7 linked regions of the Callithrix jacchus genome follow. The protein of the gene in region 1 purifies or fractionates together with the protein of each later gene. This does not show direct contact. Links are inferred from orthologs where the notes say so. Each region holds a gene or a part of one and is shown in the gene's direction. Other genes may lie near its edges.

The links.
Region 2: the proteins of GDI1 (region 1) and RAB12 purify together in Homo sapiens (co-immunoprecipitation; 4 studies listed by BioGRID and IntAct, counting the BioPlex papers as one, with this or other methods). This does not show direct contact. The link is inferred for Callithrix jacchus from reciprocal best matches to the Homo sapiens genes GDI1 and RAB12.
Region 3: the proteins of GDI1 (region 1) and RAB8B purify together in Homo sapiens (affinity purification with mass spectrometry; 3 studies listed by BioGRID and IntAct, counting the BioPlex papers as one, with this or other methods). This does not show direct contact. The link is inferred for Callithrix jacchus from reciprocal best matches to the Homo sapiens genes GDI1 and RAB8B.
Region 4: the proteins of GDI1 (region 1) and RAB13 purify together in Homo sapiens (affinity purification with mass spectrometry; 4 studies listed by BioGRID and IntAct, counting the BioPlex papers as one, with this or other methods). This does not show direct contact. The link is inferred for Callithrix jacchus from reciprocal best matches to the Homo sapiens genes GDI1 and RAB13.
Region 5: the proteins of GDI1 (region 1) and RAB5C purify together in Homo sapiens (affinity purification with mass spectrometry; 3 studies listed by BioGRID and IntAct, counting the BioPlex papers as one, with this or other methods). This does not show direct contact. The link is inferred for Callithrix jacchus from reciprocal best matches to the Homo sapiens genes GDI1 and RAB5C.
Region 6: the proteins of GDI1 (region 1) and RAB4A purify together in Homo sapiens (co-immunoprecipitation; 4 studies listed by BioGRID and IntAct, counting the BioPlex papers as one, with this or other methods). This does not show direct contact. The link is inferred for Callithrix jacchus from reciprocal best matches to the Homo sapiens genes GDI1 and RAB4A.
Region 7: the proteins of GDI1 (region 1) and RAB9A purify together in Homo sapiens (affinity purification with mass spectrometry; 3 studies listed by BioGRID and IntAct, counting the BioPlex papers as one, with this or other methods). This does not show direct contact. The link is inferred for Callithrix jacchus from reciprocal best matches to the Homo sapiens genes GDI1 and RAB9A.

What each region holds. Positions count from the first base shown.
Region 1 is NC_133524.1:150,235,814-150,239,550, forward strand, and holds the end of GDI1 (rab GDP dissociation inhibitor alpha), read left to right. Parts: intron 1-136; coding exon 137-268; intron 269-831; coding exon 832-931; intron 932-1,352; coding exon 1,353-1,524; intron 1,525-1,841; coding exon 1,842-1,986; intron 1,987-2,106; coding exon 2,107-2,161; intron 2,162-2,251; coding exon 2,252-2,404; 3' UTR 2,405-3,173; downstream 3,174-3,737. UniProt on the Homo sapiens protein: Regulates the GDP/GTP exchange reaction of most Rab proteins by inhibiting the dissociation of GDP from them, and the subsequent binding of GTP to them. Promotes the dissociation of GDP-bound Rab proteins from the membrane and inhibits their activation.
Region 2 is NC_133514.1:54,463,863-54,468,145, reverse strand, and holds the start of RAB12 (ras-related protein Rab-12), read left to right. Parts: upstream 1-1,354; 5' UTR 1,355-1,357; coding exon 1,358-1,871; intron 1,872-4,283. UniProt on the Homo sapiens protein: The small GTPases Rab are key regulators of intracellular membrane trafficking, from the formation of transport vesicles to their fusion with membranes.
Region 3 is NC_133509.1:10,007,136-10,011,443, forward strand, and holds the start of RAB8B (ras-related protein Rab-8B), read left to right. Parts: upstream 1-1,311; 5' UTR 1,312-1,330; coding exon 1,331-1,454; intron 1,455-4,308. UniProt on the Homo sapiens protein: The small GTPases Rab are key regulators of intracellular membrane trafficking, from the formation of transport vesicles to their fusion with membranes.
Region 4 is NC_133519.1:14,413,034-14,417,593, reverse strand, and holds the start of RAB13 (ras-related protein Rab-13), read left to right. Parts: upstream 1-1,443; 5' UTR 1,444-1,559; coding exon 1,560-1,683; intron 1,684-3,022; coding exon 3,023-3,083; intron 3,084-4,560.
Region 5 is NC_133506.1:121,574,226-121,578,786, reverse strand, and holds the start of RAB5C (ras-related protein Rab-5C), read left to right. Parts: upstream 1-1,618; 5' UTR 1,619-1,719; intron 1,720-1,901; exon of another isoform or gene 1,902-2,361; intron 2,362-4,561. UniProt on the Homo sapiens protein: The small GTPases Rab are key regulators of intracellular membrane trafficking, from the formation of transport vesicles to their fusion with membranes.
Region 6 is NC_133520.1:21,248,318-21,252,159, reverse strand, and holds part of RAB4A (ras-related protein Rab-4A), read left to right. Parts: intron 1-1,309; coding exon 1,310-1,390; intron 1,391-3,474; coding exon 3,475-3,589; intron 3,590-3,842. UniProt on the Homo sapiens protein: The small GTPases Rab are key regulators of intracellular membrane trafficking, from the formation of transport vesicles to their fusion with membranes.
Region 7 is NC_133524.1:13,910,083-13,914,556, forward strand, and holds the start of RAB9A (ras-related protein Rab-9A), read left to right. Parts: upstream 1-1,597; 5' UTR 1,598-1,761; intron 1,762-4,474. UniProt on the Homo sapiens protein: The small GTPases Rab are key regulators of intracellular membrane trafficking, from the formation of transport vesicles to their fusion with membranes.

The sequences.
Region 1 (3,737 bases):
TTTCCATTTCCCCCTTGCATTTGATCTTCATGTTCCCTAGGCCATTCAGGGTGGTGGGAAGACTGGCCTGGTACCTGGGTGGTGGTGAGTCAAGGGTGCTGCTATTGGAGCATCTTCCCTTACCCCTGTCCCCCAGCTACTTGGACCAGCCCTGTCTTGAGACCATCAACCGCATCAAGTTGTACAGTGAGTCCCTGGCCCGGTATGGCAAGAGCCCGTATTTATACCCGCTTTACGGCCTGGGTGAGCTGCCTCAGGGTTTTGCAAGGTGAGGACGTGGGTTTTTTCAGTTGGCATTGGCTGAGTAGGACTAGGGCCAGGAGTGGAGCTGGCCCCTTGAGCATTTCCCTGCTAGCATTGGTCTTCATTGACTTCGCTCCATCCTTGGCTGATGGGGGCACAACCCCAGTGTATCGAAGTCAGAGTCGAAGAACCAAGTCTCCACAAACAACTTGCTCAGTTCCTGGAAGCACCAGGACTGGGCCCAGGGCAATGGAACCTTGAGTCAGGGCTTAGCTGGGAGCTGACCTCCAGAGAGGACCTTCATTCTGGTCCCCCAGGCTGTCTTGGTGGGTGTGGAGCACTCCTCCTTCATGCCACCTGCTGCTGACCCTTGACAGTGTATTCTGGGGAGAAGCTCCAGAGACGAAGAAGCCTGTCGAGATGGGGCCAGAGTTCACAGCAGTGACAGAGCTGGGATGAATCCCGGGGTCTCTTGCCTGCTGCCTGCCTGGGGCAGCCTTCTTTGCACCTTGGTGGAGGGAAGGGTGCAGTGGAATTGGTCCCAGTTTCTCCTGGGAGGGGCCCTCACCGTGGCTATTCTCACCACAGATTGAGTGCCATCTATGGGGGGACATATATGCTGAACAAACCTGTGGATGACATCATCATGGAGAACGGCAAGGTGGTGGGCGTGAAGTCTGAGGGAGAGGTGAGCCTTCCCCATGCACTGCTGTCACCATGGTTGAGGTGGGGTGTGGCCACCTTCTTCTTGACTGTGCTGTTGGGTCTGCTGCTACGCAGCCTCAAGGGCCTTGCAGCTGGGAACTAGGGGTCCAGAAGTCGTCAGAGCCATGTCTGTTGGTGAGGGGTCTGAGAGTCCACATGCCACGTCTGTGGTGCAAAAGTGTTCTTGATCACAGTGCCCATGGGGGGCGGGGCCGGGCACCCGGCCTGTGTGTCAGGGCCCACCTCAGAGCTGCAGGGCAGGGCCATGCATTCAGGAGGGGCAGTAGTGATGGCTCTGAGGAGCGCCTTGTCTGCCAGAGCTGCTTGCCCTTGCTGTGAGTACAGCCCCAGGACTACCTAGGGGAGTGATATGACAGGGGTGAGGACCTCTGGTGCCTTTTCAGGTGGCCCGCTGCAAGCAGCTGATCTGTGACCCCAGCTACATCCCAGACCGTGTGCGGAAGGCGGGCCAGGTCATCCGCATCATCTGTATTCTTAGCCACCCCATCAAGAACACCAATGACGCCAACTCCTGCCAAATCATCATCCCCCAGAACCAGGTCAACAGGAAGTCAGGTAGGCCAGGCGCCGGTCCAGCTTCCTCCAGGGTGTTCTCTTTGAGGTTGCTCTTTATCTCCCCATCAGCGTCGGAGCTCCTTGCCTTATCTCTCCGAAGAAAAAATTTGACCCACATTGCAGTCACCACAAGTTGGATCCCTAGGGTTTGGGTGGACTGGAGTCTTCCCGTTTGGGAAGGTGACAGCTTGGATGCTACCTGCTCTGTGGGGCTGGGGAGGGGCAGGCGGGCCAGACTTGCGTCCAGCTGCTGGAACCCCTCTCTGCACACGGCTGGTGCCTCCAGCCTGAGTTGACAGAGCTCTTCCTGTGGCCAGACATCTATGTGTGCATGATCTCCTACGCACACAACGTGGCGGCCCAGGGCAAGTACATTGCCATTGCCAGCACTACCGTGGAGACCATGGATCCCGAAAAGGAGGTGGAGCCAGCTCTGGAGCTGTTGGAGCCCATTGACCAGAAGTAAGGGACTTGGCTGAGCCTGGGGGTGGAGAGGGAGGGAGCCCAGGAGCTGGGCTTAAGGACCCACAATGGGCATGGCCCATTGTGAGGCCTGTCCCCTCCCCTCCATCTGCCCCTCAGGTTTGTGGCTATCAGTGACTTGTATGAGCCCATTGATGACGGTTCTGAGAGCCAGGTAAGCAGCCTATCCCAGCCCTGGCTCCTGGCTGCCCGCCCAGGGCACCTGCCCGATTCACCCTGGGCCCTGGGCTCTGGCTATTTCCAGGTGTTCTGTTCCTGCTCCTATGATGCCACCACACACTTTGAGACAACCTGCAACGACATCAAAGACATCTACAAACGCATGGCTGGCACGGCCTTTGACTTCGAGAACATGAAGCGCAAGCAGAACGATGTCTTTGGAGAAGCTGAGCAGTGATTGCGGCTGCCCCGCCCCTGCTGCCCCTGCCTGTCTGTTCTCGAGGGCTCTAGCATCCTCTGCTTCCCCCACCACCTTCCCATCACCCGCCTCATTGATCCACTGACCAAATCCTTAACTCTAGCGATGGTTTGGAAGATGGGGGGTTGGTTAGCATCCTCTTTCTTGGCCCTTCCTTATCCTAGGAAAAGAGGGTTCCTCTCCTTGTGTGTGTCTCTTCCCCCCACCCCTTCTGCTCTGGGAAGAACATGGAGGAAAGGGTGACTTCTGCCCCCACCGCTCTTACCCCCACTGTAGTGGCCTTTGGAGATGCCCCACCTCCCCCTACCAACTCTTGCGTGTTGGAGAGAAGGGGCCCTCCCAGCACAAAGTTGCATTCCTCCCCCCTAATTTATTCTAATTTATTAACTTCAACCCACCCCTTCTGAGCCTGCAGCCTTCCTGTGCTGCCTGGGGGCTGTAGAGTGAGATGCCCCAGCCCTTGCCCAGCCTGGGGAGTGGGGAAGGCTTGGGCGTGGCCCGTTGGAGGTTGATTTGCTGTTTTGTTTCTTGTCTTTGTGTTTTGTTCTCTGGTATTGGCTGAGAGAAAAGAAATGTGAGCAAAGCAGGAGGAGGTGGGAAAATGGATCCAAACCCCCGTGTGCCCTGCCCCATGCCTTTCCTTTAGTGGTGGGAAACCCTTACCTTGCAAAGTGAATGTGTCCCCTTCCCCCTCTCTAGTGTATTTCACAGAAAACAGAACCTCCCAATAAAACGGTTGAAACCTGAACCTCTGGATCTTTACAGTTACTTCCCAAAAGCTGGGTACCTAGCAGGGCTTTGGCTGCCTGGGTTGGGGCTCTGGCTTAGCTTCACTCTGGACTGTAAAAGGTGGCATTACTCACCAAGGAATTCCTCACCCAGAGCACCCTGGGGCCAAATTGACCTGCGTAAGATCAAATTCACCGAATGAGTGAATGCTGGCACAAGGACTGCAAGCCCTCGGTGCTCCAAGCGGGGGGAGTGCGGCAGGGGTGGGTGTCAACGTGGAGGAAGCAGAGAGAGCTGGGGTCCTGGCCTCTGGCTTGAAGGGAGAGGGCAGAGGGGACCAGGGGCCAGCCTTGGATGGAATTCGAAGTGAAACAGGGGGACGGGTGCCAGTTTTCGGGTTAATGCACGGGGAGCAGGGCCTGGCCTCAGGCAGGAAGGCAGCAACAGGACCAGGGGATCCGGCATTGGGCAGGGATCAGCATCAAAGACGTGAGGGGGCGGAGCCCAGCCTTGGGGTCAACCGGAGGAATTAGAGGGACCGGGGGCCCAGCCTCCGGTCGGGTTAACGTCGAGGCAGCGCGGG
Region 2 (4,283 bases), on another chromosome or scaffold:
CAGGAAGCTGAGAAGGGAGAATCACTTGGGCCCAGGAGTTCCAGCCTGCAACTACTGCAACTCCTGATCGCACCACTGCAGTCCAGTCTGGGTAACAGAGCAAGACTGTCTCAAAAGCAAAACAAAACAAAATGAAAGAAAAGAAAGAAAGAAGGTAAATTCCGTGATGGTGAGTGATAGATCTGTGTTCCAAATAATACAGATGGATCATATTTTACGTATTCTCAGAATTCGTATTAAAAAGATCCCTACAGTGATTGCACAGTTAAGAATGCTCTCAAAGATGTAAACTTCCAATCTACTCTGTGGGCAACGCTAGGTTTTTACAAATCAGGGTTGCTGTGTAACATACGCACGTACTGTGCATTACTAAACCGAGTTCTAAATACAGTACAGCTGAAATCTGGTGGGTAACGTCATCATTCGGCAAATGTCGCCAGCCCCTATCATATTCAGAACCCTGTGTTCTGAGGTGCTCAAGTTCAAGCTGAGGAATTTGCTAAACAAATCTCTGGCAAGGAATCAGCAGGGATTTTCTATATCCTTAAATCCTTCCAAATAGAAATGGCAAAACATACGACTCGAGTCCATAATTCCTAAAGTTTCAATCTCTTCGCACTGCTTGAGTTTTAACTTGCTTATTCCCCCAAAGGAGTATGTCATTTACTTACGTTAAAAATGAAACAGCATACAAACTTCTGAACTCTGAGTGAGACCGCAATCAGGGTTAAAAACTGATTTCGTGCGTTTCCGTGGAAAATGGAAGACAGACGTGATGGCGAGAGACCAAGCAGTGCCACGGCCCGGTTGGCGGTACAGGGACCTGCACCTGCTGGTGTTTGTGGGAGAGCGCCGGTGTAGACGCGAACGCGGCGCGGGCCTGGGGTGGGGGCCTTTCCAGTGGTCCAGCCACACCGCGCACGCGCAGTGGTGAATACCCGTGTACGGTGTTCTTTTTCTTATTTTGAATCCATTTTCATGATGCGCTGAAATGTTGAAGTTTAAAACTGCCTACGGAGAATGTTAAGACTAAAACGACACTAAGTTTCTTCTGTTAACTATAAATGCAGGGCAGAGTGAAAGCAGAGTAGGGAAGAGTGAAAAGGGGGAAAAGGGAAGTGGTAAGAGGAAGATAAGATCAAAGAGCCGGCAGAACAGGGAGGAAAGCGGGGGTGGGGAACGGAGGTAGGAAAAAAGCCGGGCGGTGTGCGGGAAAGCCCCGCACGCTGCAGCCCCCGCGAGGCCCCAGTACGCGGTCCTCCCGCCGGCAGGGGGCTCCCGCTCGTCCGCCAGCCTCCTGCCCCGCGCGACCCGCCGCCCCGCCCGCTCCTGCGCTTCCTGCCCCTCCTCGTCCGGGATGCTGCTGCCGCTACTGCGGAGTAGCTGCTTCCCTTCCTCCTCTCCCGGCGGTGGCGGCGGCGGCGGCGGCGGAGGAGGGGATCCAGGTTCTGAGAACCGACCGGCAGCGCAGTTGCAGCGCGGAGCCCACGGGTTGCTGGGGCCGCAAGAGCGGGCGGACGCCGAGCCCGGGGCCGACCCCCCGCGCGCGGCGGAGGCTGAGGGGGCGCCGGGGCCCGGGGCGCGCGGCCGGGGGGCGGGCGGCGACGGCGGGCGGCGGGCCGAGCGGGAGCCGCATGCGTGTATGGATCCGGGCGCCGCGCTGCAGAGGCGGGCTGGGGGCGGCGGAGGCGGCCTGGGCGCGGGCTCCCCGGCGCTGTCGGGCGGCCAAGGCCGCCGGAGAAAGCAGCCCCCTAGGCCGGCCGACTTCAAGCTGCAGGTCATCATCATCGGCTCCCGCGGCGTGGGCAAGACTAGCCTGATGGAGCGCTTCACCGACGACACCTTCTGCGAGGCCTGCAAGTCCACCGTGGGTAAGGGCGCCGCGGCGACCTCGGTCCGGGCAGGGCTGGGCCTCCTGGCGCCCGGGCCGGTGCCCTTCCCCGTGGGCCTCGAGTCTCATCGAGCCTGGGAGCCTTTCGGGGATAGGGCTCTCGGTGAAACTAGGGGCAGAGGTTTTCGTGGAGCGCCTTCCACCCCAAGCCCAAAGCCTGGCGGAGGTTTTCGGGCCGCCTCTGCGCAGACCTGCCCTTGGCCCCCGGCGCTGTCTCTGAGGTTCTGGCGACCCGGGGGGACTGGGGGAGCGGCTCTCCACGGAAACTTCGACTCTTAGCATGCTCGCCCAAGAAAAAGCTGGGTGCAGTGGGGGCTCAGGCAGGCAGGGGAGTGAACGCCGAAGGCCGCTGTCGCCCGGGCCGCCCCTGCAGGCCAAGGCCAGCGCGCGCTGTCTGCCGCGGATGTGATCCCTTCGCAACCAGGGCAGTTTTCTTATGTTGAACCCATTTTCATGAAATGATGAAGTTTAAAGGCACTTACGGAGAATGTTAAGACTAAAACTACACTAAGTTTCTCGTGTTAACCGTAAGTACCGGTCAGAGGAACTTCAGCTGTTTTTATCCGTGACCTCAAACAACCCGGTGACTTGGCGGGCGTGGGGCTGATTCCTCCAGTACCATTCTTTTCGGTGAAGGACAGGAGTGAAGTAACTACAGGAACGCTCCACGGTCAAAGAGGAGAATAGCCGCGGATCTGAAATAAAAACTGCAGGGGAAAATTTTTTTAATGAAGTCACGCTTAAAGGATTTGACTTTGAGATTTGTCAGGTGGGTGTGGGTAGCAGTTGCTTCCATGGAAAACCCCTTAAAAGATTCCAAACTAGGAGAAACCCATTCTTTAAAATAAGGCAGTTACCTTCCGTTATAGGAAGTGAGAGATTGGGCGGTCCAAAAAACTGAGTCGTCAGGAGAATTGATAGAATTAAAAGTATCATTTCATGTAATTCTGTTTATTAATAGTGTTATAACCAGTGGTAGTTCCAAGGCTGTTGGTACGACTTTGAGATGAATTGGTTTGAAATTGTCATGTAACCAAACAGTACTACATTTAAAGTGTCTTACTGGAAAATTAAACCACCAATTTTTGTATTGTCTTTTTGTTTTTTCAGAGCTTACTTCCCTTAATGCTTTATTGGAATAGATCATTTTGGAACTGTTTTGTGCTGTCTGTACCATTTGTTTTTAAAATGTTGGCGTTGGGGACATGATATTAAAATTAGCAGCGTAACTTTGCCTGTTTCAAAATCCAATCTTGCATTATACAGAGTACAGGGAGTTGTTAAGCCATCAAATGAGGGTTATGCTGTTATTTTAGTACCTGATACAAATAAAGTAGGGTTAAATTCAGTTCAGAATTGTCAATCTGTTATGGCTCTGCACTTAAGTATATGAAAATGAGGGATAATAGAGTTGCACTGTGTGATGAAGAGAAATCAGGTACCTATAGGTGGGTAACTGAATGCTTGGGTGCATGGAGGGTGAGATGGATGAGCAAAGGTGTGCCTTAGAATGCAGAGGAGAGGGGAAGAAGTGTTTTCCAAGCCTGGCAGCAGTGGAGCAGCCCCTTCCCCTCACCTCTGGGGAAGGTTTCTTTAGGGGACTTGGGAATGAATACTGCGAGACCTTGACTGCCCTGCTAAGGAGGGTGGACCCTATCCTATGGGCACCTGGAACCAGAAGGCATCTTAATAAGACATTGGCATGAAGACAATGAAACTCATTTGGCAGAGTTGCATAGGATGTTTGGGAATGAGGACAAAACCAGGAGGCAAGGAGACCAGGCAGTTGTTTCTGTGTCCCTTAGTATACACTTTCTACTCTGAGTGTGGATGAATTTCTCTCATCCTCATTTTTGTTTGCTTCACATGTAGCCTGTAATACTTACAGTACTGAAGTGCTAGTACTCCAGTACTCCGTGCGTCCTTCTAACTGTGGGATGTTCAGAGAATGATCATGGCCTCTGGCTTGCTAAAAGCATGAAGACTCTGAGAAAGCTAACCAGCCCTGCTTCAGTTTCTGCTTCAGAGTTGCTTTTCAAAACCTTCTACTCATCAGATAATTCATCGAGCACCTACTGTGTGTTGGGTATTATGCTGTCCAGAAGTGGATCAGAGCTCCTGGGAGCTACATGACCGCTTTTTAAGGCAGTGACAAATGTGTATGGGTATTTGGGAGCACAGCGAAAGCACCTCCCGTCAGCACTAGGGATGAGACCTGGTTGGAGAAGGCTTCCTCGTCACTGGAATGTTTGAAGATAAGTTCCTTACTCTAGTTCCTTTAGAAAAATGCTAATTAAATATGGTACTGGGTGTGGTGTAGAACTGTGGTTGCCCCACCTGAATGGTTACCATTAGAGCAGTTAGCTCACAGGGTCCTTCCAACGCTGGTTTT
Region 3 (4,308 bases), on another chromosome or scaffold:
ACAGATGAGAGACAGAGAGGCCTGGCAGGATGGACTCCTGGTCCCACACCTTCTTAGCCTTTTGCTTCTACACTACCTGAACCACTGGACTCCCCTTTCACAACAGCTAATCTGGTTGGGTTTCTACCACTAGCTAATGAAAGAGGACTGAACAATAAATCCACAAAACAAAGAATTAGCCGAAGACAATAAATAATAAAGGATTAACCTGAGTGTAACAGAATGCTGTTTCCCCCCTATATTTGTCATCAGTTAATTGAGAGCCTACTGAAGAGTGATGAATATTACCATCACCGCCAACAGTTCTACGGTGCCTTATGGGTTTCGAAGAGCCTTCACGTTTAGCATTTCATTTAATTTTTCACTAGAATCCTATGAAGCATCTTGTTTCATATCCATTTTACAGTTAAGAAAACTGAGATGTACAGTGCCTGCGTGACTTGTCACAGCGGTTAAGGCGCAGAGCCAAGACTAAATTCAAATCTTATTCTGTAAGTTCCCGTGGCCCGGTTCCTGCCTCACAGGATGCTTGCAGTTTTATGGGGCACAGACCTGTAGCACAAGGCTTCCCAGATTTAAAAATCCATCCTCCTCCGGCATAGGGGAGCGATCAGCGTAGCAGATCCTCTAAATACCCACCGTGTTTGGCTCTGGTCTGTGTGGTTTGAAGAAAGAGGCACGAGTGAGGTTCGAGTTAGCACGGTAACCATTCTTTCCCAGCTCTGTGACTGAGGAGCTGCGGGTGGGGGATTACAGTGGTGCTGGGCATGGCCTGGGAGAGAAGCTGGATGATGCACTCTGCAGATAACCCGTAGGCTGCGCCACAGCAGCGCCAAGAAAAGAAAGCATCTCTGCTCCGGGTCTCCGCGGAAGAGATGCGGGGACTACGGGTTTCTGATTCTGAGGTCCTGGATTTACAAGGCGCCCGCACACAAAGAAATAACAAAGTTCAGTTCCGGCGGCTTGACCAGCAGAGTTCGAAACGAGGTCTCCCTTCCCTGCTCCGGTGGAAACGCCCCCACGCTCTCACCCCGCCCACAGCAGGTCTTTTATCCACTGGAGCCGCCAGGACAGACCGCGCGGGGCACGCCCGAAGCTCCCCGGAGGAACTACAAGTCCCATGAAGCCTCGGAGAGCGGGCAGTGATGACGAAGCCCTCGCAGATTGGCAGTGCAGGGCGGGGCGCGCAGGCTTTCTCCGAGTGGAGGGGCGGGGAGCGGGGCGGGGCGAGCAGCGGCCGATTGACGGGCACGCCCCCTCGCCCGCGGCCCCCTCCCGCCTCTCTCCGCCGCCTCCTCAGGCTCCCCGGTCAGAGGGCCGGAGCGAGAAGATGGCGAAGACGTACGATTATCTGTTCAAGCTGCTGCTGATCGGCGATTCGGGGGTGGGCAAGACCTGCCTTCTGTTCCGCTTCTCAGAGGACGCCTTTAACACCACCTTCATCTCCACCATCGGTGAGGGAGGGGCTGCGGCCCGGGACCGGAGAGAGAATTGGGGGGCGGGTACGAGGGGATGGGAAGCGGGCGGGGGGCGCTTGGGAGCCCGGGAGAGGAGACCCCGGGGACTGCAGGGTGGCTGGGGTACTGAGAGGGGCGAGGGCGTGAGGGAGAGGGGCGAGCGGAGACCTGAGGCAGGGGCGAAGGGGGAACTTGGGGGCAAAGGAAGGGGAAGGGGAACAGAGGAACAAGGAATTGGGGGTTTGGGGGAACGGGAGGGTTCGGAGACAGGGAGGGGTCCTAGAGGGACAAAATGTGTTGGGGGGAAGATGCAGGAAATCTCATGTAGGGAGAGAAGGGGATCGTGGACGCGAAAATGGATTAAAAGACAAGAGAGGAAGGAAATGTGAAAGGGGGAATGAGAGGGACGTGAAGTAAAGGGATAGACGACACCAGGGACAGAGAGGTGAGAGCCAGGCAACTGGAAGGGAATTCAGGGGAATGAGCGGTCGGGAGGCGAGGAAGAAGGGGGACGCTGGTCACAGGAGGTCTGGACAGAGATGTCGTAGGAGGGGCCAGAGGAAAATTGCAGGTGGAAGAAGAGTTCAAGGGACCTTCGGGCGGAATGAGGATACTTGGTGGAGAACGTAAAGGAGAGATGGGTGTGAGACGGAAAGGAAAAGCAGAAGCAACATCGTAGTAAAGGGAGGTTGAGCAGCGAAGACGGAAGATGGAAAAGGGAGGAAATGGAAAGTAGTAGTGTGCAGGACGAGTTCCAGCAACTGATTACCATTTTCTCTTTACTTCCTTTGGGTCAAGTGCAGGAGAAAGCAAAACGTGACTAATGATGGAATTATGTCTATAGAGCGTTAATTTGTTCTGTGATTGTTAACGGATGTTAAGGGAATTGGTGACTTTTGGAAATGGTGTGGTCAGGAAAATATGGTCCACCTTACTACCATCTCCTGAGAAGCAAGTCTTCTCGGTATCTTAAGTCCTTGGGTTTGAATGTTTAACAACTTCTCAGCCAAGGAATTGATCTTACATTCTGCCCACCTCCCGCCTCCCTGTATATTTTGCTTTGATTCTAATTATTGTTAAATGAATCACAACATGTGATATACCTCCCAGTTACTTCCAATTGATTCAAGAGTTTTTCTGATCTTGGCTGGAGCTCTCCTTCCTACTTTTGTACTGAGAGACACTGTGTTCAGGTAAGAAGATCTCTTAACTTACTATAAACTGAAGGGTTTTAAGCTCTTAGAAATGAACACCTTAGCATCATTTTCTCCTGTTAAATAGCTGCGGATTAATTAAGTACCTTAAGAATCTCAGCTTTTGGTTGTCTTGGTGATATTTCTGGCCTCTAATAATAGCTTATTTAGGCGTCTTTCATATGGTTCTTACAGCATATTTCACCATGAATTTCTGGGTTGGGAAATAATAGGGAGCTAGGGCTTTGGTAATACATGTGTTTACATATTTGTGTATTTTAAAGGGTAATTTATCTTTTTGTAAAACAGAGTATTCGATATAGAGCACTCTTTAAGTATTAGAAAAGACTGGGGTTTGTTTGTTCATTCTGGTGTCTTTCATATAGATTGAATGGTCTAAAACCTCCTATGATATCTGGGCTTAGGGAAGTTTGAATTGCAAGTTCTTGGCAGTCAGTCTTGAGTGGGACTTTTTCTTTTCTGAGAAAGCACATTTTAAATGTCATCTCTCAAGTAGATGCCTAAGATTTGGTGGTAGCTGTTGGTACCGCAACTGAAGGGCGTTAAGTTTTAACACATATTAATTACAAAGCCTCAAATCACTGTTTTTCATTGTTGAATGCATACTGCAATACAGATGATAAAGGATAATTTCTAACAAGTTGAGTGGGCGTCCTTTTGTCCATTCTGTGTTTGATCCTCCGAGGAGCATCTCCTGCCTTGAAAGTAAGTGAATCTCACTGATGCTGTTTCTCATAAGTTTCTTGGATGACTTGCTTGTTTGTAATATTTTTATTCATTTTCTCTATTTTTCCTTATTTTTTTGTCCTGTGTTTCCTGTAAGGATGTCTGCTTCCTTTTAAAATAGTAGCTTTTAAAAATTACTTTCATTTTGAAGGATTCAAGTCTGTGAGTCAATTAAAAAAAAATGATGGAAACGAGGCTCTTTGGAGGCTTAATCGCTATGAAGGTGTGAAAAGCAGCGTCCTGAAACAGGTTGGAATAGGAAGTGCTCATTAAAAGGAGGTGAATCGCATGGGAGATCTGGGTCTTTATATTTTCTCTGAGGTGGATGTGGTAAAAAGGCTGTGAGCTGTGTCTTCAGTTGATGTGGAGGAGGGGAAATCCCATAACTCTTATTTAGCCCTGGGGCTCCAACAGGAAGTGGTAGCACACTGTCTTCAGACCGCAGAATTTATATACCTGAAACCTAATGCTCTGCAGTCAAAATTAAGCTGGGAAAATAAGGTGAATGTTAGCACCATTCTGGTTCCTCAGAGTCTTCACTGCTTACAAGTATAGATTTTGGGTGTTCAAATCTCCGGCAGCCACTTCCCCAGGCCTCTCACCTCATTCCCAGGTGATCTGAAGTTGTTGAGGTGACAGTTGGTGGACCAGCTCCTCCCTAGTCATGAAGTACCTAGGTCTGTAAGTTCCTGGGCTCTTCTGACTGGGTTTTGATGAGGTCTGCCACAGCGTTGCTGACAACACTTGATAAGCTCTGTGTCACATGGAAAAGATGTATTTCTTAACGCCTGGGGTTTGTGTGTGTGTGTGTTGGTAGATATGTGTGGGTGTCTGTTTCTTCCCATGAAGATACATTTTGAGTCTTAATTTTGCTCTGTCAAAGTTATAGTAGTTTTAAAAATGGGAATCTG
Region 4 (4,560 bases), on another chromosome or scaffold:
CTCCTGGGCTCCAGGGATCTGCCCACTTCTGCCCCCCAAGTAGCTGTGGCTAGAACAGGTGCACACCACCATGTCTGGCTTATTTATTTATTTTATAGAGGCAGAGTCTCACTATGTTGCTCAGGCTAGTCTTAAACTCCTGGGCTCAAGGGATCCTCTCACCTTAGCCTGGCAAAGTACTTGGATGACAAGTGTGAGCACCGTTTTTTTGTTTGTTTGTTTTTTTGAGACAGAGTCTCACTGTGTCACCCAGGCTGGAGTGCAGTGTAGTGATCTCAGCTCACTGTAACCTCCACCTCCCAAGTTCAAGTGATTCTCTCCTGTTTCAGTCTCCCAAGTAGCTGGGACTACAGGCACCTGTCACCATGTCCAGCTAATTTTTTGTATTTTTAGCAGATGTGGGGTTTCACTGTTTTAGCCAGAATGGTCTCAATCTCCTGACCTTGTAATCCACCCCGCTAGGCCTCCCAAAGTGCTGAGATTATAGGCGTGAGCCACCACACTGGGTCTTAAATCATTTTTTCTTTCTTTTTCGTAAATTTTTCACCCCCAGCACACATATAGCAAGAATAATTTTTTCTAAAGGCAGAGGCTGGGCATAGTGGCTCACACCTATAATCCAAGCACTTTGGAGGCCAAGGTGGGTGGATCACCTGAGGTCGGGAGTTCAAGACCAGCCTGACCAACATGGTGAAACCCCATCTTTAAAATAAATAAATTAATAATAAAGGCAGAGATAAACTTGTTTCTTTATAGCCATGCTGTCCATTTTCAGCTTTCTGGTTACCAAGGCTACACATTCACAGCCTATTGAGTGAGGTTTCAGGAATACTGCACCTTAACAGGCCGTATTAAAAGATCCATGTGGAGAATGACATTTTTAGTTCAAATCTCTGTTTTCCTAAGCTATTTGGTCAGTGAAGTCACACATGGGGCCCCATTAGGGAGATCGTTTCAACTGAAGCCCCAGGATGTGTCTAGGTGGGGCTGTGTGTGTTGGGGTGATAGGGCCGATTCTCTATAACTAATTTACGTTTTCATCCTTTTCCACCAGGGGGCAGACTGACCCAACAAATAACCTACTACTGCCCATCCCGCTTTTTTCAAAGGGAATTGGGATCCATAGAACTAAGGGCTTGGACCACTAACACTAAAATTCTAGGACTGCCTTTTACTCGGCCCCGGAAACCGATCATAACTAATCTCCTGGCTTCGCTGAATAGCACCTCCAAAATTCAGCCCCAAATTTTTGTCAGTTTCTAGTGCCCTTCCTATCTTCACCCATATTTCCAAAACTCTTTTCCCTTCCCCAATCCCTCTAAAATTTCTCTCCGTCTGAGAGAACAGAGGCCAGACTGGCCGCCTTGGCCGGCCCGAAAGGGTGGGCGGGCAGGGGGTGGAGCCCGGAGGAGTGCCGCCTCTCCTCTTTCCCGGAGCCTGGGCGGAGAGGGAGGAAAACTTCCTGGCCAGGGCTCCGTGCCGCTGTTTGCCAACCGTCCAATCCCGCCTACCAGTGCCAGGAGCTCCCCACCCCACCCCCGGCTCCCCCGGTGTCCGCCATGGCCAAAGCCTACGACCACCTCTTCAAGTTGCTGCTGATCGGGGACTCGGGGGTGGGCAAGACTTGTCTGATCATTCGCTTTGCAGAGGACAACTTCAACAACACTTACATCTCCACCATCGGTGAGCCCGCTGGCCATGTCCCAGACCCCGACTCTCCTGTGACCTCATTCTCAGGCTCCCGGTTTACTAGTGACCCCACTTATCAGTCCCCTTACAGTAAGGCTCCTAAATTCTAGTTCCTCAACCCCTGGCTCTGACCCCTCCCCCTGCATGTCTCTGTATAGTTAACCAAACCTCTCACCTCTTTGAGGCCTTCAGGTAACACTTCAAATGCTGCCAGCCCCTCATTTTCTTGGTACCATCTCCTTAGCCTCTCCAAATCCACAAGAACTCTTCTCTATTTTCCTCTAAGCCCCTCTTCCCCATCCTCACCACCTAGAACTCTCTCGATCCGCTCTCCGCATTTCCTCTATCCCTCTGGAACACATCTTTTTCTCCAGATCCACCAGCCTCTTTCAGTCCTGCTGAACTTCAAACTCTCCCACTGCGCCCCACCTCTCCATCTACTTCCCAGTTTTCCGACCCCACTCTTCCTGCACCTCAGCTGAACAGGAGTTTGGGAAGAGTGGAACAAGGTGGCTGGGTGTACTGGAGGGTGGCCTAAGGACTGTGATCATGAATATGTAGCTTAGCCAGCTTGGTGACGGACATGGAAATGAGGGGACTTTTGGGGTCTCTGAGTCAGCCTGGTGACTCATCCTCCTCCCAGAGGCCCCCAGCGGGCTTGGGGGAGGTGCCCAAGTTTCTATTAAGAAGAACACTCTCTCCCCTCCTCCCATCTCATTTTTCTTCATCTCCTCTGGCTTGGGAAATAGGAAGACTCATGACAATTCTGGTTACAAAGGAAAAGGAAAAATGCCCCTCTTTCCTAATTGTCTCAAGAGTAATCCTGTTCAGCCTCAGACTTTCCTAGTGCCAAGTTTGGCCCACTAGTTAATTCACTGGTGGCTTCATAGCCATAGACTGGCTTCAGCTACTTTGTTTCCTTACTCTTTTGGAGGAAGGCGGGTGGCATACCAATAGTAGAAGGCTCTAAGAAAACAGAAAAGAGGAATGTGAAAGTAATTTTTGGGGGGAGAGAGAGACTGAATTCAGAGAGTTGTCAGCTGGCATATATGAATGGACCCAAGAGGTGGCTTAAGAATCTTAAGCCTCCATGCAGAATTTTCACACTTTCTCCCTCCCCAAATCCATAAAATATAAGTAAAAATAGTATTCTTGCTGTACAAATACAGCTTTGGGAAAATTCTCTTAGCTTGGCATTTCCAACAAGATTGCTCCCCAAGTGCCTCCCCTGCAGAATTTCTGGTGCTGACACTGCTGTTCCTGTCCCTCCCATCACACAGTTTTACATGTGTGCATGCATGTCTCAACTTCAGTGCACACCCTCTACCCCTAGGAATCGACTTCAAGATCCGCACTGTGGATATAGAGGGGAAGAAGATCAAACTGCAAGTCTGGTGAGTGAATCCCTGGGAAGCCCAGCCGGACTTCCCCATTTGCCTCCCACAGTCTTTTCCTTCTATTTTGTTTCATTTCTCTTCCTTTCCCCATGGCTCTTTCTTTCTTTCTTTTTTTTTTTTTTTTTTTTTGAGACAGATTTTCGCTCTTGTTACCCAGGCTCGGCTCACCGCAACCTCCGCCTCCTGGGTTCAGGCAATTCTCCTGCCTCAGCCTCCTGAGTAGCTGGGATTACAGGCACGCGCCACCATGCCCAGCTAATGTTTTGTATTTTTAGTAGAGACGGGTTTCACCTTGTTGACCAGGATGGTCTCAATCTCTTGACCTTGTGATCCACCCGCCTCGGTCTCCCAAAGTGCTGGGATTACAGGCGTGAGCCACCACGCCCGGCCCCCGTGGCTCTTTCTAGCACTTCTAATCTATTTCTCTTGGAAAAGGACTCAGCTGTCCTTCCATCTCTCTTCCTGCCCTCTCAACTAGTTTCAGTTTTTTTGTAACTCTTGCCCCCTCTGGCTGCAGAGCATTCTCTTAGTTGGACAACAAACAACTGTTGGGTTACAATGTGGAAACAGGCTGTGAGCAGTTAAATGGCACTGGCGGAATTAAGACTTGACTCGAAGTCTAGTGTTTTCTCCAAAACATGGTGAGTCCAGAAAGCCAAGTACAGACCCTGAAGGTGTTTAAGTGATACTAAGCTTAGCGGAGGCATTGTGCTATGACATATCTGCACAGACTGGTGCTCAAATCCAGTTCTTTTACTTATCTGCTGCCTGACCTTCATTAATTATTCAACCTATCCAAATCTGTTTCCTCTTTTTTTATTTTTAAATGGAGTCTTTGGCGTCAGGTTGGAGTGCAGTGGTGTGATCTTGGCTCATTGCAACCTCTGCCTCCTGGGCTCAAGCGATTCCCCTGCCTCAGCCTCCTGAGTAGCTGGGATTACAGGCACAAGCTATGTCCAGCTAATTTTTTGTATTTTATTGGAGACGGGGTTTCACCATGTTGGCCAGGCTGGTCTTGAACTTCTGACCTCTTGATCCATCCACCTTGGCCTCCCAAAGTGCTGGAATTATAGGCATGAGCCACTGTGCCCGACCTTTTGTTTTTTTCTTGAGACGAGAGTCTCGCTCTGTCTCCCAGGCTGGAGTATAATGGCACGATCTCGGTTCACTGCAACCTCCGCCTCCCAGGTTCAAGCAATTCTTTGCTTCAGCCTCCTGAGTAGTTTACAGGCACCCGCTACCACCCTCGGCTAATTTTTGTGTATTTTTACCATCTTGGCCAGGCTGGTCTTGAAGCCCTGACCTCTTATCTACCTGCCTTGGCCTCCCAAAGTGTTTGGATTATTACAGGCTTGAGCCACTGCACCGGGCTTTTTTTTTTTTTTTTTTTTTTTTTGAGACGGAGTTTTGCTCTTGTAATCCAGGCTGAAGTGTGGTGGAGCAATCTTGCTTCACTGCAACCTCTGCCTCTTGG
Region 5 (4,561 bases), on another chromosome or scaffold:
GACTACCCATCCCTCCTGTGTAAGGAACTGTTGCAGAGCTGGGTATGGAAGCGGGGCTGGGGGGAAGAGCTAGCCTGTCAGCAGCCAAAGCCTGCTAGGAATCCCACTCCGCCCCATCCACTCTGTCCTTCCAACAAGCCAACAAGCCCTCTTCCCTCTTCCCTTTCACTTCTCTCATGATCACCTGCACTGGAGTGGGGATTGTGTGTTATGGATGTAAGAAAGAGACACCCTGCTGACCAGATGGAACTAGATGTGGGCACAGTTTTGTGGCAGGTTGTCCCAGAGAGGTCGATTCTCCAGCTGAGGCTCCAGGATATGCCCGGTGTTGGCCAGTACTAGAGGCACAATGGTCACAGCTGTCTCCAGTGAGCTTTGATTCTACACAGGTTTTCAGTAGTGTCCCTGGAGGGTAACATGCAAAGGAAGAGGAGGTACTAGTCTGTGTTGAGAGGTAAGGGTGGGCGGAATCAGGAGCTGGCCGGATCCATATTCAGAGGAGCAGAAGAAACAAATAGTCCTGATCCATATGGGGAGGGGCAGAGTGGGGGTGGTTCTAGTCTTTATTTTCAGATGGAGAGGTCCGAGCCAGAGGTTATCCAGCTCTACATTCCGCGTCAGAGAGAAGAGCTGACCCTGGCTGGGAGCAGGGGAAGGCAGAGGCGGAGATGGTCTTTGCGCCGGCCCCCCCCCCGACACACCAAGTAGGGGGTGGTGGCAGAAGCTCTCCCTTTGATCTCACTCAGCATCCTGCAGAGAACCTTTCCTACAGCCTTTCATCGCTTTCATCGCCTTCCCCATCACAGAGGCCCCCAGCAATCGGGCTTCCCAAGCTGACTTGGCCGGAAAGCGCAGACAGGGGCTGCTCCAGATCAGCGAGTTCACAGGACTGGTCCACGCAGCCTCGCGTGCATATTCATTCGCACCATGTTTTTCCTTTTCCAATTCTGCACACACAGTCCTCTGCCTTCTTCCAACTCTCCGCCACTCGCCTTCCCTCGGGCGTCCGGAACCGGCGGTGACGCGGGTGGCAGGCTTGGCCTTAAAAAGTTCCCGGCCGTAGGCCGGGCACGGTGGCTCTGGCCTGTAATCTCAGCACTTTGGGAGGCCGAAGAAGGCGGATCACCCGAGGTTGGGAGTTCAAGACCAGTCTGGCCAAGATGGTGAAACCCCGTCTCTACAAAACATACAAAATTAGCCGAGCGTGGTGGTGCATGACTTTAATCCCAGCTACTCGGGAGGCTGAGGCAGGAGAATCGCTTGAACCCGGGAGGCGGAGGTTGCAGTGAGCCGAGATCGCGCCACTGCATTCCAGCCTGGGAGACAGACTGAGACTCCTCACAAAAAAATAATAATTCCCGGCCGGGCTCCGCCTCGCAGTCAGCCGGCTCCACCCTAAGCCCAAATCCCAGGCAGCCGCCAACTCCTCCCAGCGCTGCGAACTACAAGTCCCGCCATCCTTCGCGCGCGCCCTCCAACCACTCCCGCGTTTCTACCGGAGCCGCTGGATAGGTCGGCCAAGAGTGCCTTCCATTAGTCCCTCTACCCTGTCAATCACCTGGGTAGTATTGAGGGGCGGGACGGAGGTGGAGATCCGGATCCGGAGCGGCTGAAAGGCGGAAGTGGAGGCCGGAGCCTGGGACACCGCCGGGGGGGGGGGAGAGAAGCGAAGCCTGTCCGAGTCCCGGCCCCAAGTAACGCTGCCGTCCCGGAGCCGCCGTGAGTATGCCTGTCCCCGAACCTGGTGTCTCGCCTGCGTTGAAGCATCTCCAGGGCAGCCCTTACTCACCACCCAGCCCGTTTAGGGGGATAATGACCCCTCCCCCGACCCGTAGCCTCCTCCTAAGGGGTTCCCCAGGCGTCGGGCCAAAGGAGCGGGGGAGCTTCTTTCTTTAGCTTACCTGCCTTTCGTGAGCCTTAAGGAAACTCCTATGACTGTTCTCTGGCCTGTCCATTCCAGTTGTGGGAGAGAGGAACCCTAAGTTCCGCTCGCCTTGCTCCCAGAATCGAAGGATCTTTGCCAGGTGTGAAGGAACCTGTCCTTCTTGTCTTTTAGAAGTGACAGGGAGTGCTGTCTGTCGCCGTTTTCCTTCCTCCTGTCCCACGAAACCAGTTGTCCCCTCCAGCCCTAGAGGAATATGTCGATTTCCTATGGGGGAGGGGGTCGTCTGGGTGAGACCGTTCCACACGCACAGAAGTGTATTTGCGCTTCCACAACTCCTTACTTCCCTCTTTCCTCAAGCCAGAAAACCAACCAGGACCTCAGTTAAAAGTCTGGGTCATTTAGTAGGAATGAGATGTTTTCTTGCTTTGCCCCTTCTGTCTCCCTGCCCTATTCTCTAGTTATGTTGTTCTCTGAGTGTCTCTCTCTTTCTGCCCCTGAAGAATTTAGCTGAGGTTTGCTCAATCCTAGCTACAGATCACAGATCAGGGTGGATATGCCCATTCATTATCTTCTCTCCCCTCCCCCCTTGCTCCAGGCTCAGCTCTGTCCTCCCAGAGCACGTGAGTAGTTTTCAAGCCTCCTCAAAGGGACTGCTTCTCCCGGGACTGCTGTCCGTGTGTCTATAGGCAGGAGAATAAGACCCAAAATGAGGAGTCTGGAGTTGAAGAATTATCTCTTTCCCACTTCCAGACACACACACATAAACCACCCTGAGCAACAGGTCCACACCGCGCTGGTATCTAATCCCTTCTGGGCTTGGACTTATTACTGAGGACTAAGTCAAGATCCCACTGGCAGTTCTGGGGTCTGAATTGTAGCCTGAAGAATTCCCACACATGCCAGAAAATGCTGGTTCCCTCAACCGTATGGACTGTTGCTTGGGGCTTAGGTGTGTGAAATAGCTGCTGTCTCTGACCAAGCTTTGTTATGTGGCCAAAGTACAGGCCCGAGACTGTACCTTAATGAGGAGTAGCCTGTCTCTGAGGCCGTGACTGACCCTTGCTATCTACAGTGGATATGTAGATAGCAAGTGGGATAGATAGTGGGAATGTCTGTAGCTCTTCAGTTTTCTGAGCTACCTTTACCACCCTCTCGTGCTGCTTAAAAGTGCTGTTTTTTGGTATTGAGGTGTTTTTGAGTACTTCTGGACAGTCACTAGTGTCTGATTTCTCCAGTCTTGTGAGTAGACCTAGGACTTATTTCACCTTCCCCCAGCGCCCCCACTTCCCCCCTGCTGGAGTGCATTGGCCCCATCTCAGCTCACTGCAACCTCCACTTCCCAGGTTTAAGCAAATCTCTGCCTCAGCCTCCCGAGTAGCTGGGATTACAGGCGCATGCCATCATACCGGCTAACTTTGTATTTTTAGTAGAGACAGGGTTTCACCATGTTGGCCAGACTGGTCTTGAACTCCTGACCTCATGATCCGCCTGCCTTGGCCTCCAAAAGTGCTGGGAGTACAGGTGTGAGCCACCGCACCCAGCCTACTTATTTCACTTTTTATTGGACAACAGAAGCCTTCCTTATTAGGGTCAACAGCTGGATCACAAGCTCTTTATCTGTGTGGGTTCCTTGGGGGCTCATTGGAGACTTCTTCAGCCAATCTAGTTTTTCTGATCTGGGCAGCCTGGGCATCTGAGGGGCAGGGTCAGAGAGGCCTGACTGCTCACTGGCCATTGGTCTCTGACCAGACTTACGTCTTCAGGAGTGGACCATGGTTTGTCAGTCTTCAGGAGTCCTGGGATGAGACTGACCAGCCTTCTGAGGAGACCTTTTTTCCTTTGTCTGGACATGCTCTTCCAGCTCTGACTCTGAAACAATTTTTTTTGGTTTGTTTTTCTTTTGAGATGGAGTCTTGCTCTGTCACCGAGGCTGGAGCGTGGTGGCATGATCTCTGCTCACTGCAACCTCCACCTCCTGAGTTCAAGGGCTTCTCCTGCCTGAGCCTCCCAAGTAGCTGGGACTACAGGAGCGTGCCACCACGCCAGGCTAATTTTTGTATTTTTAGTAGAGATGGGGTTTCGCCATATTCGCCAGGCTGGTCTCGAATTCCTGACCTCAGGTGATCCACTCGCCTCAGCCTCCCAAAGTCCCGGGATGACAGGTGTGAGCCACTGCACCCGGCCTGAAATGACTTTTGAAGGGGAAGCTCGGCCATTTAGACAGACGAGGAAGGCCCCAGTGCTTTGGGAGAGAATGCAGCTGCTTCTGGCATCCAGAAATTATAGTCCAAGCAGAGGTCTGACTGCTTGGCAGAAAGCTATGGCTCTGTGTGTGACAGAAACCCCTCCTTTCTGATGCTGTTCCTCTCCTGCCCTCTTGCCTCTCATGATTAGTGGGCTGTTAAACTGTAGAGGGGCAATAACACTAATTTTTAAAAATCATTTTAAAGTTACAAAGTTATTTTCATACATATTCCTCACAGGTACCCTGGGAATAGTGGGGTTTGTTTCCCCACTTGTTTTTAATTTTTGTTACTTTTTTCTTTTTTGGAGTAAGATAAGGCAAGTATGTGTTTCTGCTTTAGAGAACATGCTAAAGGAACTTAAGTAGCTTGCTTAAGGTCATACATTTAGAAAGTGGTAGAGCTGGGGCTGGGATTTGGGGTCAGATGTGAC
Region 6 (3,842 bases), on another chromosome or scaffold:
GCTAAGTTTTTTATTTTTATTTTTTTTAGGAACAGAATTTTGCTGTGTTGCCTAGGCTGGTCTTGAACTCCTGGGTTCAAGCAATCCTCCCTCCTTAACCTCCCAAAGTTCTGATATTACAGGTATGAGGCAATGCGCCCAGCCTGGAATTTTTTAATGCTAACAAAATTCTAATAGCATTATTTTTAGTTTGATTGCCTATAACCATGCAAATATTATGAGAAGTTGAATAGGCTCCATCTCTCAGTGGTGATTAACATAGTTTTTAAGAAACAGGTGACAGAGCTAGGGCAAGTGTCAGTAAAGGAACACACTATTGGAGCTTAATTTGAGGAGGGAAAGTAGCTATGATTAGGGAGTGCTTGGTCTGATCTGGAAAAGAGTGTGGAGGTGACATTTTCAAAGGTGTAAACAGGGGAGCCAGGAATACAGAGCAGAGCCTTTGAGGCCACAGAAAGAGTCAGGCAGCAGTGGGGATTAACAGCTGTGGGTCAGGAGCAAGGGTGAGGAGTGGACTCAGCAGCTGAGTGAAAAAGGGAGAAAGTTAGTGTTCCGGTACTCCTGGGCTCCCAAGCTATGCAGAACTACAGTTCTTTGCTAACAGAAAAAACAGAGTGAATTCCTATGGGTAATACGAAGTTACTGATACTACATCATGCTAATTAACACTTTCCAGGATTTGGAAATCCTTTATTTCCACTTCATAAAAAACAATATCCCAAATTAAATATATTACTATGTAAAGAAGAAATTATTCAGTTTGTCATTGAATCAGGCAAATTTCACACTTGAAGTGCTGACCCAAACTTGGCTTGAGCAGTTACAGATTACAGATGAGGGAATAGAAGAAAGACCACATAAATCTGCAAGTGCAGACAAAACTTACCTGTGTTCAAACAGAAGAAAGAAGCAGACTCTTCAGAGTTAGGCTTATCCTTTTGTACAGAAAACACTTGAAATTTCTAAACTAAGTTTGCTTGCAACTGAATACGCATATTTCTTTGGATAGTGGCTAGATAAAGGATAAATTTTATTCATTCCAAGAGTAGTTTTCAAATTCGAGCTTGAAAAGTAATTATTCAAAGAGCACAGTTTGGAAAACCACTGAATTAACATGTCACCCAAATACCTAAAATCCTTAAATGTGAAAAGGTAAGTCAACATGTGTATTGTCATTTTACAAGATACTCAGTTACCTCTTTTTCCTGTTACATTAACAACTAAGATACTAACTTTTATGTTTATGATCTAAGAAGAAATTCATAGCACCATTTTGAGGTTATTTTCACAGTCTCTTTTTATCTTTCAGATTTTTTGTTTAAGTTCTTGGTTATTGGGAATGCAGGAACTGGCAAATCTTGCTTACTCCATCAGTTTATTGAAAAAAAATGTAAGTGACATAAAATGGTCATTCTTCTGTGCATGTCTCCTTAGAGTCTTCTCTTGCTCAGTTTTGTTTACAGTAAAACTTACAACGTTTTTCCATGGTAAAAAGTAATAGTTTAAAAGTATTTTAAAGGGTTTTGTTATTAAACTTTGGTATTGTCATTTTTTTATTAAGTTAGCATTTCAATTTAACAATGGTTCAATACATGGTTACTTATACTGTACATTTTCCAGAAGCTAAGAGATCATATAGTGATGTTGAAGAACGCAAAGGCATTCTCTGGCAGGAATCCCATTTCCTGACAGCAGCCAGAGAAGCTCTAGGCATAGATTTTGGATAAAATAACAACGTTGGATCCTTACAGTGGCCTTCTGTTGTAGTTAAGGCAGTTGCTGTCATCAGTTCTGTTTTATAGACCAGGAACAGAGCTCTTGACCACACATCCCATCTTTTACCATCGACCCTCACTGTTTTGGTAAGGGAGGTTGAATTTTTTTATTTCAAACTATGTGAGGCCTTGGAAAACTGTAGAAGACTGTAGGTTTGAAAGGCCCTTAAAATAAAAAAAATGCTTTTATAATAATGGAAAGAATTGTGGAGAAAGACCTGTCTAGTTAGTGGCAGGTGGGCAAAGGCTCAAAAACAGAATGTTTTATTTAGTTAAGTGCATGTTAAGGAAGTAAATGTCAGACACCATAGGTGGGTAAAAAGGAGAAAGAGCCAGTATAGGGTGTCTTGGCAGAAAGCTTTGAAGAAGCATAAAATTATAGGAATTTACTCTGCTACTTCCATTTTAATCAACCAAGAGCTTGTTGGAGCCTGTGTTTAGTGACATAGACCCAGTGTGGCTTAGTCACAGAACCAGTCCTTACTGAAATTAACAAATGTTCATTCACTGGATAGTTTATTTACAAGTTGCCAAGACTTAGAAAAGAATACCCACAGGGTACCAGTCCAAGTACCCAGCTTATATAATCATTCTCTCCTCAGAGAACTCTCCTTCAGGGTCCTCCCCGCAACTCCTCAAAACAGTGATGAAGGGAAGTTCTCTCATTGTAACCAGGATGCCCCTGGCCTTTAGTTACTGTCTTTTGAAGGATTTTACTCTGCATTTTGCCTGTTATTTTACTCCTAATGGAATTTCCATACTAGTTCTATACTGTCTGGGCATGAAACAGACTGGCATAGTCACTGTAACCATTTACCCTCTGCCCTGTAAATAATAAAGCCAGTTGCCAAGTAGCATCCCTGATTTCTGGAACAGTTAAATTTTGTTTTGCAGTTACAAAATGTAAACTAGTCAGTGGACTGAATAGCTGTGTATTTGATTTTAGCTTCTCTGTTCATCATCACAGAAATGTTCTTTCACAGGCCATGTATTCCCGCTAGGTTTAGCAAAATACTTATTTTACCTGTTTCCTGCCTGTTCAAACAGTTCTAATTTCTTAAACGAATTCATCCCAAATCATTCCCATAGAACATACAATGAATGAAAACTCAGACACTTGTAGATTGCATAGGGTTTGGGGGGTGTGTTTGAGAGTGTTTTGTTTTGGGGTTGGTTGTTTGAGGGTGTTTTTTCTTTGGTTCAGTTTTTTTTCCGCCTTTTCCCTTTTTCCCTGTTTTTCCTTCCTTTCACTGTTATTTCTTTAGAATATTTAACTATTCAAATACAGTACTTGGAACTGCCTCCACCTCACTACTTACTGAGTTCCAGACCTGTCACCACTGAACATTATGCCCTGAATGGTACCCTGGTATGTCAATAGTCCCGTCTGTGAGGTCTTAACAGCGCACAGTTGGATGCAGTTCAGATATGGCAGGGGTACCTTCAGGCATAGGCTTTTAAATGTATGATTTGTTTAGGGGTTTTGGGAAAACATCTTTATGTCTCTTTGAGAGTAGGGGCTGTGTGTATTGTCTTTAAAACTAAATGCATCTTCTCAGTGGAATGCTGGAGAAATGAATAGCTGGAGTAATGTCTGTTCTCCATTGATGTGACTCTTGGTTTTAGTGTCACTTATTTAAATCTATAAGCCTGTTAATGTTCTAAAATTAAATGTGCTGTTCTTGTTTTTCTTTTTTAGTCAAAGATGACTCAAATCATACAATAGGAGTGGAATTTGGTTCAAAGATAATAAATGTTGGTGGTAAATATGTAAAGTTACAAATATGGGATACAGCAGGACAAGAACGATTCAGGTAGCTTTTCTAACTTAAAAAATATTTGAAAGTTGGATTTAAAATAATTGATGATATTATCTCAATATATTATGTCTCACCCCCTCCCCAACACACCCTTCCTTGTCCTAATCTCAGAAACTTCATTTTTGGAAACTTTGATTGACAAGACAGCTCAAATTCAGGTTAGCTCTCTACAGCCTGGATTTACTAAAGAATACAGTAGGATCTCAGAGCAACTGCATCATAATTTGGAGGCTGACCCCTTCTCAGG
Region 7 (4,474 bases), about 140 Mb from region 1:
AAAAAGTAACTTTCCTTATTCTTTCTTCAGGTACTATAAGCTACACTCAAATATGTTTGAATGCCTTCTTGCATTTTGGAACAGCCTAAGAGTCACTCATGGAACCTTCTTAGGTCATTTTTATGAAAGCTGTTGGGTTTCTCAAGGTTCGCTTTAACTCAAAATTCAATAATTTCATGAGATCACTTGTTACTAGCTGGTTGGTATTAGCAGTTGCACAGATAAACTCCTATTCCATCACTTCTTGACTATGGTTGGGATGTATGATTTTCAGGTGGCATTTCTTTAATTACCCTGTGGATTGCTTGTTGCAATTTGACCCAACTACATGTCTTTTTTTCTATTAGAAAATTAATTCTAATGTTTATATATAATGCTTTACTATGTACTTTTAATATGTATTTTAAAACAAGATAACGTACATCTGTTCTTTCTACCAATTTAACAGATTTGCATTTTATAAACATTTATACATATTTCCTTGGGGAAATGACCTGTATATCAGAAATATAGATCTGTTTGTGAGAAAAAAATTATTTAAGCTTATATGTCATTTTCAGAAGTACTCTAAAATTGCCTTTTTAATTTGTGAGGAACTTTCTCAAATATGACCTTTCTAGTGCTGAATGAAAAGTCATTTCCTGAAAATGACTCCCCAAAGAGCTGGAGATTAAATTGTTGTGGCCCCCAACATCATAAAAGTGAGATCCTTGTCTTGGAAACTAAACAGACTAAACCTTTTTTTAAGAAACCTTTTCTTTTAGGTTTAGGGATACATGTGCAGGTTCGTCATGTAGGTAAACTGCCTGTCGCCAGGGCTTGGTGTACAGATTATTTAGTTACCCGGGTAATAAGCATAGTACCTGATACCTAGTTTTTTTCTGCTCCTTTCCCTCCTCACACCTTCCACCCTCAAGTGGGCCCGGGTGTTTGTTGTTTCTCTCTATGTGACCATGTGTTCTCATCATTTAGCTTCTACTTGTAAGTGAGAACAGGCGGTATTTGGTTCTCTGATAAACTAAATATATCTTACAAAATGTATTGAGATGTCCCTAAGAGTCCCTCTCCCCTGCAGGGTTCGGTATCATAGGATTCTGCACTCAACTTCATACATAAAGCAAGGACTTAAGGAGAGCTTCTCCAATACCACCTTTTGCACCATCGCTTTCTATTTAGAGATGACAGAGGCAGTATTTTAACAAGATTAAAGTTTTAATAGCTTTATTTTAAAAGTTCTTGTTTTTCCACAATATCACAACTGTTTTCATTTTTCATCTACCTGTTCGTTGTTTGTCCGTTTGCCTAGTCGTTTTTATCGTTGTAATCACGACATCCTGTCTCATGAGGTCTGTTTGTTTCCACTTTACATAAACTTTTCAAAATGACGGTTATTTCGTACTCGCTCTCGCCCGAACGCAGACTGGAGGACCCACGAAGAGCAATCGACCCGAAGGAAAAGTACGATTCAGGCCCGGCCTGCCTCGGCTCCACCTCCCCCGGGCCCCTCTCCCAAGGTCTTGGCCGCCGGACCCCGCCTTCTAGGCCCCGCCTCTCAGGGCCCCGCCCCACTTTACCCCTGGCCCCGCCCCGGCCCGTCGCCATGTTGTTCCCTCCGCGCCGGACGGAGGCAGCTGGAGCTGGAACCTGGCTGCGCTACCGCCGCCGCCTCCTGCTCTGCGGGTCCCCGACCCTCTCTCTGTCTTCATAGCACCCAGACGGGCCGGCCCAGAGCTCTCGGGCAGTCTTTCGTGTGTCCGCGAGGTGAGCGGGACTCGGGACTCCTTCGGGGCCCGGCGGGCGCACGGGTGTCGGGGTCTGAGGGGGCGGCTCGGGCCTCGGTCAGCTGGGGCAGGGTGCGGTGCGCGCGGGGCTAGCGCGGGTCACAAGGCCGCCGTGGGAGAGAGGACGGCTGGTTGTCTCCCTGCCTGCTGTCTGACATAGGAGGAAAGACGGGTCCCAACATCCCTGGGGAGAGGAACACACATGGAAACACAACACGCACGGGGACGCACACAAACACTGGAGAGGGAGGTACAAAAGCCCGGACACCCGCGCACATACACACGGAGAAATGCACCCAGTCACCTGGGAACACACGTACACACCAGCCTTTCCCTGGCCACTCCGGGACACACATCCACACACTCCAAACCAAACGCTACATCCGAATAATTAATGTAGGGAAAACAAAGGCGCTCCCACGACTTGATTTTGGCGATCTCTGAAGTTCAGCCTAGCAGAAAGTGACTGTTCGATGTCTTAGGACCACTCGGGTGAGGAATTCGGAAAGTAAAGCCAATCTTAGAGGCTGCAGGCGGTTTGGGGGCATTATCTGATTCAGACGCTGGCTAATGTTTCACAATTGCGTTCCCTTTTTTCTTCCAACTTAGTCAAAAGGCAAGATGAAAATTTTAAGTGCTGAACAAATAGTTGGTGGACGTATTGCCTTTTTTTTTTTTTTGGTTAGGGATGACACATCTCGTGACTACAGTTCTTTTGAGGAATAACTTTTCTGCTAGTTTCCAAATCGCCATGTGACCACAATCTTTTCATAGGATTTTAGCATCCTGCTAAAAATCAATGGGCAGAATTTGATTGCTTTTTTAAAAAAAAATGTGTTTGTCCTTCGGTCTCTGACACCGTTGTAATGGAAAATCCCTGCATTGCCTGTGCTCTCAGAAGCTGTCCGGTGGAGTACAACCAGAGATTAAGGAACCCAGAGCGATTCAGTTAGGAACTTTTAAGAAGCCAGCCTTTAGTTTTTCCTTTAGAAGATTATGACGTTGTCATGATTGCTTCTCTAGAACTGTAGTATGTTGTTTGGATTCTTAAATCTAAGACCATGTAGTCTGGTACTTTTAGTATTTTTGTGTCTGCTGGAGTAAATTCCTCGTTTATACTCAAAAGTTTGTCTTTTGGAGACTTTTAGGATCTGGGCATATTTTTTGTTTATTATTTGGAATGTTCGAGTCTAAGTAGAACATAATTGGCTTTGACTCCAAGCCACATTCTTAGAGATAAGGGAAATACCTGAGTGCTATCACCGCTTTCCCAACCTCTCTCATCTCTTTTTGTCTCTATCAACCATTTCTTCTGACTAGACTGCAGTACTCTGGAGGCCTAAAGATAAGATCCTTGAATTCTAGAAATTATTTCTTTTAACCTCCCCTCATTTCTGACCATTTATTGGACACTCACTCTGGTGGTGACTATTCTGTGCGTGTAAATCCTGTACATACATCATTTCATTTAATTTTCGTAGCATTTCTTCAGTAAGAGCTCCATGTTACAGTTGAGGAATGTGGGGGGGCATAGGCAGATTCAGTCTGTTTTCCAAGCTGACCCAGGTTGTGATGGGGTGGAGCTGGAATTCAAAGCAGGTCTGGGTAATTTTAGAGTCGGAGTTCTCAACTGGAAGAGAGGACAATTTTGTCCTCCTGGGACGCATTTGGCAACACCTGGAGGCATTTTTGGTTCACACCTGGGGGCAGGGAAGGTGCTGCTGACCTCTTGTGGGTAGAGGCCAGATATGCTGCTAAACATTCTTTTTTATTTTTATTTTTGTTATTTAATTTTTAATTTTTGCTGCTAAACATTTTATAACCTGCAGGACAGCCCCCCACAGTTGTCTAGCCCAAAATGTCACTAGTGCGAGGGTCGAGAAACCCTGCTTTACAGCTGTCCCAGTAACCCCAGAGCTTACATTTCAGCTGTGTTTGTAGTTTTTCAAATGCAATGTCATTTTCCTATTTGGGATACCTCATCATTTTAAGTGAGCAGGGGAAAATTCTCTATACTGAGAAGCATATTCATTTGAAAGATTAAAGAGTGAGCAAATAATTTCTGGTAGCAGAATTTGTTTTTTTGCTTTAAGGCAAAAATGACAAAAAGAACTTAAGAGCTATTCAGAGCCATTAAAGTGGACTTAGAAAGTTTAGATTCTGCATTATTTCAGTGGTCTCAGCAGCCTGTGGGGCACTCATACAAAGAGGTGCTGATGAGAAGGGCGGTAGGGAGTCCCAACCTTCCTGAAGCTTACAATCCAATCACAGTCCTAAGCTTAGGTTCTGACAGCATCCCAGAATGGAATTTATTGCCTGGCCTACTCAAGGACAGGGGCCAGGTGTTCATTAAAAAAGCAAAACAGGCTGAGTGTGGTATCTCATGTCTGTAATCTCAGCACTTTGGGAGACCCACACAGGAGGATCACTTGAGCCCAGAAGTTTGAGAACAGCCTGGGCAATATAGTGAGAACCCCATCTCTACTAAAAATAATTTTTAAAAATTAGTCTAGATGAGTGTGGTGGTGCATGTCTCAGATACTCTGGAGGCTGGCAAGAGGACGACTTGAGCTCTGGAGTTCAAGGCTGCAGTGAGTCATGATTGCACCACTGCATTCCAGCCTGGTCAATAATAAGACCTTGTCGCTAAAAAAAAATATATATATATATATATATATATATATATATATATA